Struthio camelus: one gene and its partner. The protein of the gene in region 1 interacts with the protein of each later gene in a biochemical or structural test. Links are inferred from orthologs where the notes say so. Each region holds a gene or a part of one and is shown on either strand. Other genes may lie near its edges.

Evidence for each region.
Region 2: the proteins of GRIP1 (region 1) and THRA form a complex in vitro, tested with the Homo sapiens proteins (2 studies listed by BioGRID). The link is inferred for Struthio camelus from reciprocal best matches to the Homo sapiens genes GRIP1 and THRA.

What each region holds. Positions count from the first base shown.
Region 1 is NC_090942.1:39,757,865-39,765,811, reverse strand, and holds the start of GRIP1 (glutamate receptor-interacting protein 1), read left to right. Parts: upstream 1-4,930; 5' UTR 4,931-5,278; coding exon 5,279-5,411; intron 5,412-7,947. UniProt on the Homo sapiens protein: May play a role as a localized scaffold for the assembly of a multiprotein signaling complex and as mediator of the trafficking of its binding partners at specific subcellular location in neurons.
Region 2 is NC_090966.1:6,798,730-6,806,726, reverse strand, and holds the start of THRA (thyroid hormone receptor alpha), read right to left. Parts: upstream 3,054-7,997; 5' UTR 2,903-3,053; coding exon 2,850-2,902; intron 1-2,849.

The sequences.
Region 1 (7,947 bases):
AATTTTCAAATAGATAAGGTCATGATTTACACTAAGGTATTCAGGGCAAATTCTGAGTGGAAAATTGCAGCCTTAACGTGAGGACTTATGACATTTAAATGAACATCTGCTCTTGAAAAACTGGAAGGTCAGGCAAGATGACACAGTAAAACGAATAAGGAGAACTGTTTTTGGAAGATCCTTTCTCTGTTATTGCTGGTCTCCACAAACAACAACATCAGATTATCAAAAACACATCCCACAGTGGAAAGAGAGCTAGAAAAGAAAATGTCCATTCTTCTCTCTTGAGGTTGCAATATCTTTTTGGGTTCTGGGGAGGAGGAAAGAGGGAAAAATAGCCCTATTTCCTGTGTTCAGACAACTTCCATAAGCTGTTTATATTCATCTTTATTTTTGCATTTATAGTTCTGTGTTTTGTCCCAAGAGGTAACCTGACACAGGTCTCTCCCGCTGCCTTTCTGCGTTCCCTTGCATGGTCACGTCCTGGAGAGAGTGCTCCTTCCCGCCATGCAAAGCCCCAGAGAAGCAAGGGGAGATACAGGTGGGAACCTCCAGCTAAGATGTTTTCTTTTAAACACTAGAACACAATGATGAATGGAAGAGAAAATAGTGGCTTAAAACAGTTAACACTTCGTACCAATTCCCTTCTGTATTTATGGTACTAAACCGTAGAGGCCTATTTCATACTTAGAATTCTGATTTCAAAGTACCAGGTTTGCAAGCCCACTCAGATAGAAATCCTTGATAAATATTTACTACCTTAAGGGCTTATCCATGGATACCAAAACATTTTCCCTATTATTTTCCCCAAATATTGGAAGAAGTGCTGCAGAAAACAAGTATGTCGCTTGTGAAATTTTACCTAGATAACTGCACATCTAATTCTGTGCAAGTAAGAAGTTGGATGTATGCATTTTACAGGTACATTTACATTTACATGTAAAACCAATCTTTGCTATGGATACAAAGGCAAGCCTAAACACTGATATCTATCTTCAGTAGAAGCGGCCTATTTTGGTTCTGCAGAAGCATTTACACCCCAGCTTAACTATTGGAAAAGGACAGTGTCGGGCTGGTATATTTGATTACTGACATGAAGTCTTTTCCAGTAAGTCACTAACCTGAGTCAGGTCAAGTTTGATAGAGGTTCCTGGTAACTTACGTTAAACAAATTAATTATCAGAACGGATAAAGCAATATTATTATCCACCTGCTGTCACCTGGCAAAATTTTTTAACATGATGTTGGAGGCAGCATGGCTATCCTTGCGTTTTCTAAGCAAACCACTTTGGAAATATCAACAGAGCAGTTGCTTTGTTTGGAGTAGATGTATTCCTGGAGAAAGGATGAGCCAAAGAATTTTAGTCATATTTACATTGCAACTTTTGTTGTGGCATTGACCGCAAGAAAACTGATCCCCAAATTCTAATGCAGAGAAAGCCTCAGAATATCAGCTGACACCTTATTTTATGCTCTTTGGGTGCAATTATCCTATTCTCTTTGTCACTATGGGATGAAATGCGCTGTCATATCTGATGTTTTGCATGTTAAAAAATTCAATGTCAATCTTTGTTTCTTCCTCTGCTCCCCCCATAAAATCAGGATGCCTTTCTAGAGGTGTTGTATGCATCTAGTATGTTCCTGCTTTTTGTCAGTCTCTTGGGATACTTTTTATTCATTTTCAAGCAGAGGGTTGCAGGATCTGTGTTCATTTTCATCAAGGAGCGAATTGTTCACCACAAGGAGCTACAGAAGAGGGAATGCTGAGCAGCAGAAAAGCTGGTTTTTTTTTTTAACTACGGTAAACCATGTCTGTGACACTGAATTCTCTGCTTATACATTTGTAAGTAGGACTATTATAAAATATTTATAGGTGTGGCATAAGGATTAGCTAATGAATGTCTCCAGTGTTCTCAACAAAGCGGTAAAGGTAGTATGTAATGCATATGCAACATAAGTTTTGTTCAGAAAGCTTTATAGTATGGCAAAACACATGATACTCATGACTATTATAATATATAGAACCATTGTCTACAGTTGAGATGTTTTCTTCTTTTTAGATTACCCTAAATACCAAAATATTTTAGGGAGGGGAAAATCCTGTCATGAACTCATGTTGTTCTAGATTTAAAAAACAACCAACCAGCCCAAATCCTGACATTCTTTATCTCTGCACTTTAAGTTCATAGAAAAGGAAAGAGGTGCATAAATGAGGAGCTGCTCAGGCTGGCAGCCTGTGGGCTAGAAGCGGTGGGTAGCACCCGCTCCTGCACCTCTGGGGTGAGAGATGGGGCCTGGCCTTTACTGGCAGTGGTAGTTGCTGGGACACAGGGAAGAGCAGCAGAGCATGAACTCCCCCGTGCTTATGCAAAGAGTTGCGCTAGTGCTCCCTCTCAGCCCTTTCCTGCTTTACAAGATATGTGGGAGCCATTACCTTGACCGCTGACAATAATACAGTTTAGTGCCCTTTTTTTGCTTTACTAAATGAGCAATATAAGCGTGCCCAATGAATCCTTCCCTAGTGGTGCACTTTGCAAGCCTAGGCGAGAGGGGGGAAGATCTTTTGTGCAAGGTAAAGATGTGTTTTTCCAAAAACTCAGAACTCACCCAAAAGAAAATTGATTTTCCTCTAGAAAATGGTGAGGCAATTGGTATGCTACAACTGGTGCTTACTGTGCTAGCTGAAAGAATTTGGTTGCTACCTTGCCTCCTTATTTAGTTTGCTTGCCTTGCAATGGAAAGGCCTGAAATCTGTTTGGGGACTGGCTTTCTTCAGGCTGTGTTTAGGACTGTGGAATCCACATCTCAAACACAAGCTTCTGTTACAACAGCATGTTTAACAGCAGCGGTACTGGAGAAAGGTATATTTACTTGGCAAAAGCTAAGCATATGCCAGATTTCAGTTTTCATCTCTCATTTACGGGGCAGTTTAAAACAGGGTAAGTTTTCCACTTTTCTCCTTTTTTTTTTTAAGTAGCTGTATCACTTTGACTCGACATTTATAATTTAACTTTAGAAAACATTGACTGCAAGACTTCTGTCTTAAAGATGAATGTTTCTGACCTACAGGCAACTTTCTTACCTAAAAGTAAGGTAAGTCCCTCACACAAGTGTCAGGGAGAACGCTCTGTGGGAGTAAATATGGCATCAAAATATCATTTCCATTTCCAGAGAGGAGACTGCTGTCTCTGCTCTAGGCTAAGTTGCTGTTTTCAGTGTTTCGTGATGCTAACAATGTTTTTGCTGCTTGGTAGCAAAGCACAGAAAAGACATCTGAATGGAAACCTTGAGAATATACAGCCCTCCATTCGTAGGGGTCCATATCAAAAGATTTTGTGTGTGTGTGTGTGTGTAATATCCCTGTAAGTTCTTATCCTTTGAAAGTTATAAGCTGTGTGATAAAAACAGGAATGTAACAAAACACAGCTAACTTCCTTATAAAAGTTAACCACACTAAAAATAGTTCTGGTAGTGACCTCAGGGTGTGTGCGTCAAGCAATGATAGTGGCTGCATCTTCACAGTGGAAAAACGGGCTGCTGAGGTCGAGGAAGATTAGAGTACATTCCTGTGGAGAGCTTGCTAGGTACATTCAGGATTTTTGTCAGCTTCACCAGCTAAAATGGGTGTGTTCCTGCAACTGTCTTATTTTAAAATAGCTGGGATGCTGGAACAGTCCCCAAAAGAGTTTGCCTGCCTGCTTTCATTGTGTGTAACACCCTCAGACAGCAGATCCAGCTTACTGTACTGCTTCTACATGTTGCAAAACTAGAAAATTCCAACTACAATATGATCAATATCTTCATGCTTCTATTGAAGCGGTGATAAATTGCAATCCTAGCTTTTGCTTTACTTCTTATGCCCTTTTCTAAGTTGCGTTGCTTTGCTCTTTGCAAACTAGTGAATCACCAGAAACTAATGCCACCTGTGCGTGGTTTTCATTTTCCAGGTGATGATCCTGTAAAATCAATTTTACGGGAAGACTCTATGACTTTCTCGTATTCATAGGCGGGAAATGGCATTTCCTGAGAGCGTGGATGCAGGTGACCATGCTCGGTGCATGGTTTGACGGAGGTGATGGATCGATTCTGGACTTGTGCCAGCCACCAGGAGATGTCCTGCTGGCATAGACACCTCCCTTGGTTTGCTGGACTGCAATTACAAAGCAAACTCTGTGGTAAATGGCAGCGTGATAGAATTTGAGCAGATACTGCTTTTGTTCTTGCGAGGGAGGGAAACTTCATCAGAAATGCCCATGAAATTCCAGTCTTATCTTCGGGAATGCTTGTGGAATTCAGACGAGTAGTAAGAAAACGTCCTGGGCACCTTTTCAGGCTTTCTACTAGCGTCACTCAGTGCAAAGGATAGTTTCTCTTGCTTTAGCTTAATTTTAAAGTTCTTAAAACTCGGCTAGGATTTTAAATGAGTATTGCATGGTGTGCTTATGATGTTGCTTCCTTTGTTTGCCTATCACCATATAGCCTCGCCAGCTCCATAAGAAACCTGTCTGTGAAGTGTATTTTAATATTTAGATCTAACAGTGATTAGAATATACTAATGCCCAATGGGTATATGTGTCATTTTTTAGCAGCTGCCGAGCTTTCTCCCTGCTGCTCCAATTAACACATTCAGCACACACTTGTCGGTGAGTGGGCTGTGTGTATGGGTTAAACCACTTTGCTATTTATTCATGCAGCACATGTGATGCCAAAAATGGATTAGCGAGTTTCCTGTTCTTAGAACAAACGAACTCAAACGAGGTCCTGAGCTTGTGCCCGTTTAAATGCTAGGATAGGATTTAACTGGCAATCGGAAACCTATTTTGCCTCGAGATGTGGTTCAGTCCATTGACTAACATGAATCCCCGCCTCCCAGCCCTCTTCAAATGATGGAGACATAGGATAGGGAGATTTCAGTGCTGGGTTTCCTCTTGCTGGCAGGCAGGCAGATCTCTTCAACTTTCTTCTATTTTGTTTAATAACTGCTTGAGATGTAGAGATTCACTTCTCACTACAATATTTTCCTCCTTTATCTATTTTCATGTTGAAATATTCCAGCTAGTAGATTTGATAAAGCCCCCCCCATCCTTTTTAAAGGGAAAAAGAATATGCTTTCTATTCATAGCTGAGATAAGGAAGGGTTTTTTTTTTTTTTCATGGTGCCGGAGTGGCTGGTCAAAAGGTGTAGCTCTGCCTGCGTGTTTGCTGTTAATTTGTGCTCGGACAGCTGTCTGTGAAGCCAAGGGCGAAGGGGCTGCGAGTTGGTGCCGCTGCCGAGGAGATGGAGCGCTTCTTGGGCTTTGTCAAGCAGATAAGAAGATCGAGAAGAAGAAAAGGCAAAAAGTACCGGCCAGAGGAGGATTACCATGAGGGTTATGAGGATGTTTATTATTATGCCTCGGAGCATTTTCGAAGTAAGTATTTTGCATAACCTCATTTACCTTTGGCTGTGAGAAATATTATGCTTTTAGGATTATTAAAAAAAAAAAAAAAAAAAAAGAACGGCAAACCCAAACAGTATTTCTCACACGGTGGCATCTGAGCCTGGTGCAAGTATTAAAACATTACCTTCCCATTGTAGATTTATCTGTCTGTGACTGCCAGCAAGGAATAAAAAACAGTTGAAGTGGCACAGTCGCTCTCTCAAAGTAAGCGCGGTCTGTAGACCTGTTTAATATTTCAGGTGCAGTTAACTGAGTCTTACTGTTGCAAACCCTTTGGTAAAATCCTTTGTTTTGAAAACGGGTGCAATGGGCCCTTGTCGAATGCCTTCGTAAAGCCGCGCTGTGGATATTTCTAAAGCAATAGAAAGGCAGTGATCGCTCATTCATAAGTTCAAGTTGACAATTGCTGTTGGTTGCTGAGTGCGAGTCGGTCCCTTGAGCCCACGCTGTGACCGGCTCTTTTCAGCAGAAGGTAACTCAAGTGGGCTGCTTTGTCGCTGCACGTTCAGGATCACTTATACAGAATTAAGTAGCTGTTTTTGTTTGTTTGCAGTCAGATGACTGCAGCAGTTTGCTATAAACCTAAATAAACTGCCTGTTCTTAAGTCCCCTTGCAAAATGTGTATGGTAAATTGCAGCACACTAAGATTTATTCCCTGTACCTGTCAGGCTTATGAGCGCATGGTCAGCCTTTGACTTCTCCCCATGGGTTGGAAATGCCCAGAAATGCCTGCAGGGACAATGTGAGGGAAGCTACACTCAGATGTTGCTGAGTTTATTATGCAGCTTTGTCAGTGCAAGGTAGCGACAGTAGAATCAGTCATGCACAAAAATTATCTTTTTAAAAGGTTTCTGCTGTTGTGACCAGTGATTTGGGAGCTTTGCCTTTTGTTCAGCAGCTGAAGTTTGATGTACTTTTTGTTGTATGTACCATTGGCTGTCAGTTTCTTTTTGTATCATTGGGCTTCACTTCCATTTTGCTGAAATAAATCATGAAAACATTACATTTGTTCTAAGACAATAAATGTGATTGTGCTTTAGAGCAACAGAGTACTGCCATTATGTGGAAAATTATGAAGCAAGAGATTTTCTTTTGGTTTTCTCCAAGTGCACCATGCTTGCCTTATCTCCAGAAGTAAACTAATATAGAGAGTTTGGTTGTTTACGGGGACTCTCCACAATAAAATCCTTGCTGTTTTCTGTTTTTAAGAAAATTTACAATGCTGATCATCTTAGAATTTATCAATGCTATTCAGACTGAGATCCCTTAAGAAAAGGTCTATTCTGGGGAGCGATACTGTTTTAGCAGATTATGTATTACCATGGAATATGCTATTACAAGAACTGAAAAATTTAAATCTACTTAGCACTGAAGAATGTGAAAATGTTTCAAGTTAATGGAAGAACGCAACTTCTTTTGCTTTAGTACGCAAATCAAATGAATATGTCAAAACAGTCTGTCAGAATATTTCACTAGCTGATTGTTCTTGAAGGTCTTTTAAATAAGAAAGCAAAAACCCTCCAAAACCTGTCATATGTAATAAGGATTTCTTGAATGTTGATTAATAAATTATTGCTCTTGACTTAATGTGAGGGACTAAGATGGAGCCAAATGTCTAATATTTGTTTTAATTTTTATTTTACTCATAAAATAAAAGAATATTTTTTCTCTCACATTTGAGCCTGTGGAGATTCTGAGTATTTTAGAGTGGAAGAATCTGTGTCAAATTTTGTAACTGACCTTGAATGTTGCTTATATTAGTGATCATAGTCCCCAGACTAAATAATCCAAATAACGTCCAGCCCTATAGAGTTGGACACAAGTAGTTTGCAACTTCTGGCAGTTACTTAAATGTGTCACAGGAGATTGAGCCCTAGAGATTTATTTGTTCATCAATCATCAGGAAGAGAAGAGGCTTTTATAGAGCTACCACATCAAATACAATGGCTCCTCAAATGCCTTTTCTGCCTGTGCTGTGTGTGGCGCTGTTTTGGTTGGATAGGGGCAGTACCTACTTAAATTGATGTACGCAATGTCAAGAGATGTTGCTGGTGCTCCTGTAAATGCTATCGTTAAGCTGCGTTTCATGTAGTTGGAACAATGAAGCGATTCGTGTTTAATTTAACGATGATCTGGCATTATGCTGCTTACAGTTCAAATTTAGAGTAATCGCAGACTTTCTAAAAGCTATTCCTTTTGCATTCATGTGTTTAGAAGTGTGCATGCTTGAGAATAGGATCCACTTTATTGGTATGATTTTCAGAATATCAGAACTAATGAAATCAGAGACTTGTTCACTCAGCTGAACAGAACAGGAGCTTTTTTTTTTTTTAGGATGTTTCCTTTCCCTATAGTGTTGTCCATCCCTCCTCAAGGGTCGTCTTGTATGAGTTACATATCCAGTTAGCTACTGCATTTGAAGATTGTCTGAGCCAATCACTTTATGGGCTTGTTATTCTCTCTTCCCCCCTTTTATAATATTGCCTAGAACGGAGACAGAATTAA
Region 2 (7,997 bases), on another chromosome or scaffold:
GGCCCCTGCCTCCCGTGTCCCCGTGCACCCCGTGTCCCCGTGCAACCAGGCCCCTGCATCCCGTGTCCCCGTGTCCCCGTGCAACCAGGCCCCTGCATCCCGTGTCCCCGTGTCCCCGTGCAACCAGGCCCCTGCATCCCGTGTCCCTGTGCACCCCGTGTCCCCGTGCACCCCGTGTCCCCGTGCAACCAGGTCCCTGCATCCCGTGTCCCTGTGCACCCCGTGTCCCCGTGCAACCAGGCCCCTGCATCCCGTGTCCCCGTGCACCCCGCGACCCGTGTCCGGCCAGCCGCTGTGACAGGGGCACCCCTCACCCCGCGTGTGCCCATGTGGGCACGCGTGTGCCAGCCCCCGGCCCGGGGCTGGTGGCACGTGTGCAGGGGGACACGCGTGGGCCGGCCGGGCCACGGCATCCGGGGGGGATGGGCGAGGGGTGGGGGAGGGGAGGGGAAGTGAGTGGGGGAGGGGCGGTGCGGGGGAGGGGTGGTGGGGGAGGGGACGGGAAGGCGGTGGGGGAGGGGCTCATTTACAGTCAAAGACAAAATGTCCTTTTGGCTCAGCGGGGAAGTGACATCACGGGGGCTCGGCCAATGGGCGCGGGCGGGGGTCCGCGCCTCATCCGCACGCCACCAGCCCATTGGCTGCCGCGCCGGGCCCGGCCGGGCGGGGCTGGGGCATCGCCCCCCGCCCGGGGGGCCCAGGCGTCCGGGGGGCGGCGGGCGCCCAAGGTGACCCCGGCCGGGCCCCCCGGGCACGTGCGTCTCTGGGCAGCGCTCCCGAAATAGCCCCGGCGCTGGCGGGGCCCCCGGACGCCTGGGCCCTGCCCGTGGCCCTCCCCCTCCGCAGGCACGGCTGCAGGGAGCTTGGGCGCGCACACGGCATGCACACGCACGGGGCACGGGCATGCACAGCGCACGCACACGCATGGGGCACGCACACGGCATGCACACGCACGGGGCACGGGCATGCACAGCGCACGCACACGCATGGGGCACGCACACGGCATGCACACGCACGGGGCACGGGCATGCACAGCGCACGCACACGCATGGGGCACGCACACGGCATGCACACGCACGGGGCACGGGCATGCACAGCGCACGCACACGCATGGGGCACGGGCATGCACAGCGCACACACACGCATGGGGCACGCACACGGCATGCACATGCACGGGGCACAGGCATGCACAGCGCCCGCACACGCATGGGGCACGGGCATGCACAGCGCACACACACGCATGGGGCACGCACACGGCATGCACATGCACGGGGCACAGGCATGCACAGCGCACGCACACGCATGGGGCACGCACACGGCATGCACACGCACGGGGCACGGGCATGCACAGCGCACGCACACGGCATGCACACGCACGGGGCACGGGCATGCACAGCGCACGCACACGCATGGGGCACACACACGGCATGCACATGTACGGGGATGCACAGCGCATGCATACAGCACACACGTATGGGGCACACACATGCATGGCGCATCGGTATGCAGGGGGCACGCACACAGCACGCACACGCATGGGGCACAGGCATGCATGGGGCATGCACACAGCACACACGCTTGGGGCATGGGCATGCATTGGTGCTGGGCGTGCATGGGGCACGCACATGCATGGGCACTGGGTGTGCACAGGGGACAGGCATGCTTGGGGCACACACATGACATGCATATGCATGGGGCACACACACACATGGGCACTGGGCATGCACAGGGCACGCACACGCATGGGTGCTGGATGGGTGCGGGGCATGAGCGTGCACAGGGAACGCACACGCATGGGTGTTGGGCATGCACATGCATGGGCGTTGGGCACGCATGGGGCACGCACATGCATGGGTGCTGGGCACGCACAGCGCATGGGCATGGACAGGGTACGCACACAGCACGCACACACATCGTGTTGGACATGCATGGGACACACACACAACATGCACACGCATGGGCGTTGGGCATGCACGGGGCACACACGCCTGGGGCACGCACACGTGGAGCACGGCCGTGCATGGCCTTTGGGCACGCACAGGGCATACACAGAGCACGGGCACGCCTGGGGCACAGGTTTGCATTGGCTGCAGGCGTGCCCAGGCTGCAAGTGTGCGTGGGACACGCGCGGGGCAGGGGCTCGTGCGGGCTTTGGGCGTGCACGGGGCATGCGGAGGACATGGGCTACGAGCATGCAAGGCACAGGCGCGGCTTGCAGGCGTGCATGGAGCACGGGTGCGCACAGGGCACGGGTGTGCACGGGCTGCGGGTGTGCACGGGCTGCAGGCACGCACGGGGCGCAGGTGTGCACAGAGCACGGGTGTGCAGGGGCTGCAGGCGCGCATGGGGCACAGGCGCGCATGGGGCACGGGTGTGCATGGGCTGCAGGCACGCACGGGGCGCAGGTGTGCACAGAGCACGGGTGTGCACGGGCTGCAGGCGCGCATGGGGCACAGGCGCGCATGGGGCACGGGTGTGCACGGGCTGCAGGCACGCACGGGGTGCAGGTGTGCACGGGCTGCGGGCGGGCACGGGGCGTGGGTGTGCACAGAGAACGGGTGTGCACGGGCTGCAGGCGCGCATGGGGCACGGGTGTGCACGGGACACGGGTGTGCACGGGCTGCAGGCGCGCATGGGGCACGGGTGTGCATGGGCTGCAGGCGCGCATGGGGCACGGGTGTGCACGGGACACGGGTGTGCACGGGCTGCAGGCGCGCACGGGTGTGCACAGGGCACGGGGATGCACCGGGGCGGACACGCGCGGGGCACGGGGGGGCTCGCCCGGGGCTCCCGGCTGCCGCAGCAGAGGGGCAGCCGGCGGCGCGGCGGGGGGCCGGGGGGGGCCTCACCGGGTGTCCTCTGGCTCCGACAGCGGGTCCAGGGTGCTGGGCTTCTGTTCCATTCACCGCAATTCCATCAAGGAGCGCTCAGCACCGTCCGAGGGGGCTCCGCCACCGGCGCTGGGCGCGGGGGGGCCGCGGCGGGCGGCTACGACGCGCGCCCCATGGCGCCCGCCTCAGTGCTCAGCTCCGCGCAGCATCCCGCGGCCCAGCCTGCGGAGGGAGCCCGCCGGCGCCCGCTCAGGCCTGCACCGAGCTGCGCGAGGCCTCAGCGCGCCCCGTGCGCGGGTTGCGGGGTTGGGGGGGGGGGGGGGCCAGGCGCGAGCGGGCCGGGCTGAGCCCCGACGCGCTCGGCTCATGCGTGGCCCCGGCACCGGGCGGGGGAGACTTACGGCGGCGGGGGCCGGCGATCCCTCCTGGGCGAGCTCTCCTGCGGCAGAGACGTGGCGGCGGTGGGGGCCGGGGCGGGGGCAGCGCCGCCCGACCCCCCCCCCCCAAACCCCTCCGCGATGGGGGAAACTGAGGCAGGTGGCGGGGGCCCCCCGCGCCGCCCCGGCCCCCCCCCCCGCACGCGGTGCACGGCTGCGTCCCCCCCAGCACCGGGGCGGCGGCGGGGGGCCGGGCAGGCGCCGTGCCCGGCCCGCGGGCTCCTCCGGCTCCGAGCGGGGACAGGCAGAAAGTAGGTCACGTTTGTCTTGGCCGCGGCAGAAATTCCTCCGGCGGATTTAAAGCGCGGCTGCGGCCGGGCCGCGCCGGGGCACCGCTGCGCCGGCACCGGGGAGCTGCCGCGGGCCCGGACGGCGCCGGGCTCCCCTGCGCCTGCCCCCGGCCGGGGCTCGCGGCCGGCGCGACCCTCCCCATGCGTCGCACGAGGCTCTCGCACGAGGCTCTCGCACGAGGCATGCTGCATCGCCCCGCGGCACGCCACGCGCCTGCGTGCATGCCCGCCCGCCGGCGGCCCCGGACGCCTGGGTCCCCTGCCCAGCTCCCGCCCCGGGTTGGGGCTGGGGGGGGGGCACAGCGCCCCACGCACGGCACTCCAGGCCGGGCTTTGGGGCCGGCCGCGGGCGGTACCTATAGAGCCAGCGCGGCGCGGCGGCCGGGGGCTGCAGCAAATGTTTGTTCCATATGGGAACGCCGCGCGGAGACTTCCAAGTATAGGCACTGGCTGGGTGCCAGGGCTGCGCGCGGGCCCGCCGCCCCGCGGGCACCCGGCCCCCCCGGCCGGCCCCCGGGGCCCAGGAGTCCGGGGCGGCCCCGTCCCTGCTGCGGGGACCCGGCCAGCAGAGCCCTGACCCGCTCGGCACACGCGTGGCGCTGGCAGATGCCCGGGAAGGTGCGGCGCCGCGGGGTGAGGGGGGTAAAGCCTGGGCTCAGGGCGGCTGCGGCGGCGGCCGGCGAGCTCCGGGTGCCGAGGGCCGCGGGGCCGTGTGCCGCGGTGCCCGCAGGAAGCGGCGGCGGCGGGCGGGCTGCGGCGCTCGAGGAATCCCGCCGGCGCGGGGCGGCCGCGGCAGACGGACACGGGGAGGCGGCTCTCCTCCTCCTCCTCTTCCTCCTCGGTGCGCCGCGGGCCCCGTGCCACCGGCACCGTCTCCCGCTGCCTGCGGGCAGCAGAACGGGCCACGTGTAACGAGCGCCGTCAGGTCTCAGCCCCCCGCGGCGCTGCCCGGGCTGAGGCCGGCGGCAGTGCGCGCGGTGATGCCGGGCGCCCCGAGCCCCCGGGCCGGGTGCTCCCGCGCGGCCGGCGTCGCTGCCGGGACCGGCTGGCCCAGGGCGGGAGCGCGGGGACCCGGCGCAGCGCCCGCAGGACCCCGGCCCGCGCCCACCGCCCGGCCCGCGCCCCGCCGGGGTTTCTGCTGAGTCGGGCGCTTGCAGGAGCTGGAAAACAACCCGGGGGCAAAGTCCAGGGCTGGGCCGGCGGCGGGAGCCGCGGCACGCGGGGGGCACGGCCGGGCCGCGCCGGCACCCGTGCCCGGCCCCGCGGCGCCCCGGCCAGATGGGCGCCGGGGTCCCAGGCGTCCGGGCGCCCCCTCCCCCCGGCCCAGCTGCTATCTGGGTCACGGAGGTGAGGGCCTAAGCGCTTTAGCCAAGGTGCCAATTAGCGCGATTAGCGCGGGGCTGGGGGCAGGGCGCCGCGGCCGGGCCCCCGCCGCCCGCCCGGGCACCGGCACGGGCACCGCCACCGCCGCTCTGCAGCAGCGGCTCCGGCTGCGACCCGCAGCGGCGACGAAAGGGCCGCGGGAGCCCGGCGGGGACGGACGAGGGGCATCCGCGGCGGCGCCTGGCCCACCAAAATGCACCGCCTGCGCCCTGCACGGCCCGCTCCCCGCGCCTGCGTCCCCGTGCGGTGCAGCGGGTGCCCCATGCGGCCCGTGCAACACGTGTGTCCCGGCGCGGTGCAACGCACCCAGCACAGCCCGGCGCTATCCGTGCATCCTGCTGCGGTGCAATGCACCCGGCACAGCCCACCACTGTCGTACATCCCGGCGTGGTGCAACGCACCCGGCAGAGCCCGGCGCTATCCGTGCGTCCTGCTGCGGTGCAACGCACCCAGCACAGCCCGGCACTATCCGTGCGTCCTGCTGCGGTGCAACGCACCCAGCACAGCCCGACGCTATCCGTGCGTCCTGCTGCGGTGCAACGCACCCGGCACAGCCCGGCGCTATCCGTGTGTCCTGCTGCGGTGCAACGCACCCGGCACAGCCCGGCGCTATCCGTGTGTCCTGCTGCGGTGCAACGCACCCGGCACAGCCCGGCACTATCCGTGCATCCTGCTGCGGTGCAACGCACCCGGCACAGCCCGGCGCTATCCGTGTGTCCTGCTGCGGTGCAACGCACCCGGCACAGCCCGGCGCTATCCGTGTGTCCTGCTGCGGTGCAACGCACCCGGCACAGCCCGGCACTATCCGTGCATCCTGCTGCGGTGCAACGCACCCGGCACAGCCCGGCGCTATTCGTGCGTCCTGCTGCGGTGCAACGCACCCGGCACAGCCCGGCACTATCCGTGCGTCCTGCTGCGGTGCAACGCACCCGGCACAGCCCGGCGCTATCCGTGTGTCCTGCTGCGGTGCAACGCACCCAGCACAGCCCGGCGCTATTCGTGCGTCCTGCTGCGGTGCAACGCACCCGGCACAGCCCACCACTGTCGTGCATCCCGGCATGGTGCAACGCACCCGGCAGAGCCCAGCGCTATCCGTGCGTCCTGCTGCGGAGCAACGCACCCGGCACAGCCCGGCGCTATCCGTGCGTCCTGCTGCGGTGCAACGCACCCGGCACAGCCCACCACTGTCGTGCATCCCGGCATGGTGCAACGCACCCGGCACAGCCCGGCGCTATCCGTGCGTCCTGCTGCGGTGCAACGCACCCGGCACAGCCCACCACTGTCGTGCATCCCGGCATGGTGCAACGCACCCGGCAGAGCCCAGCGCTATCCGTGCGTCCTGCTGCGGAGCAACGCACCCGGCGGTGCCCGACACTGTGTGCACGTGCCGGCACAGCGCACGCACCCGGCGCTGCGCGTGCTTCCCAGCGCGATGCCCGTGCCCGGCGGTGCCCGGCCGGCACCGGGGCGCCCGTGGCAGCGGGGCCGCGCGGCTGCGCGTGACTCAAGGCCGCAGGAATCCCAGGCATGCGGCGGCAGCTGGGCAGCCGCGCGCCGGGGGATGCCATGCGCCTGACATCAGGGCCAGGGCGACCCCGGGGCACCCCGAACGCCGCGGCCGGGGGCGCCCATCCTACCGCGAACCGCGGCGGGACCGAGCCGCAGCGGCAGCTCCGGCTGGACGCCCGGCTCCGAATCCCGCCCGAGCGCAGCCCGAGCGCTTTCGCATCGGCCTCGGTTTCCCCGTGCCGCCGGGGCGCCGAGGGGAAGCGCGGCAGGCGGGCGGGCGGGCGCGGGAGCTGCCGCGCTGTGCCGCGCCGCCCCCTCGCACGCCGGCGCGGCAGGATGCGGCCGGGCCCCCCCGCCGGACGCCCGTGCCCACCGCGGGCGCCCCCGGCCCGCGCCGCCCCGCGGCACGCAGCACCAGCGCGGCGGCGCCCCCGGGCTCGGCCGCGGGGCGCCTGACGCGTGACGAGCGGCGGCGGGCTCAGCGGCGGCGGCCGGCGCGCCCGCGGGTGCCGAGCCCCCGGGGTGCCCCCGGGGGGGCCGGGCCGGGGCCGCGCGGGGCGGCGAGCGCACGCAGGGCGCCAGGCAGCTATTCTGAGCGCGCTGGGGGAGGGGGGCTTGGCAGGGCGAGCGCGGCGTTGCTAAATCGGGGAAGGAGCGGGGGCTCCGGCTCGCGGCCGGCCGGGACGCCTGGGTGCCCGCGTGGCCGCCGGGTGCCCCGGCCGGGCGCCCGCCCCGACCCCCGAACTCTGGCCGGCCGGGGCGGGCGGGCGCGTGCCCGACGGGAGCCCCCGGCTCCCTCGACGGCTGCCGACGCCGCTCGGCACGGCCGGGCCGGCACCCCGGCGTCCTGCCTGCGCCCGCCTTCGCCCTCATCGCAACACCCTCCTCCTCCTCCTCCTCCTCCTCCAGCGCCTGGAAGAGGACCCAGGCGTCCTGGCCCCGCCCCCCCCCCCCCCCCGCATTTAAGGCATTAAACAACACACCCCGCGCCCCACGGCAGCCGGGGGTCCCGCGGGGCCGGGGCTGGGCCCCCGCGGCCGCCCCGTCCCCTCCCGTCCCGTCCCGGCTGGCGCGCGCCTGCTCCAGGCTTTCCCGGCAGCCGCGGGAAAGTGCGTGGCGGAGCGGGGAGGGGGCCGCTTCCTGGTGCTGCGCCCCCCCGGAAGGGCCGGGGCCGGGCGCCCGCGGCCCCGCAGCACCCCGCGCGCAGGGGGACGCCCGCCGGGGGCGGCAGGGGGGCGCCCGCCGGCCGCCGGGGCTCGCGCCGCCCTTGGCGTGAGTCCGGCCCTGCCCCACGGCGCAGCGGGGGTGGCCGCGGCGGGGGTGCCAAGCACCCCTGGCCCTCGCCGGCGCGGGGACCACTCGGCACCGGGCTGCAGCGCCGGCGCGCCGCGCAGTCGCCCGCGCCGGCCCAGGGGGCTCCGGCCGTGCCCCCGGCAGGTGTCCGTGCAAGGATGCACGCGCGCGTGCAAGGCCCCGCGCCGCGGAGGGAGCCGTGCCGTGCCGTGCCGGCGGCTCCCCGCCCCGCGCAAAGACCCCCGGGCAGCGCC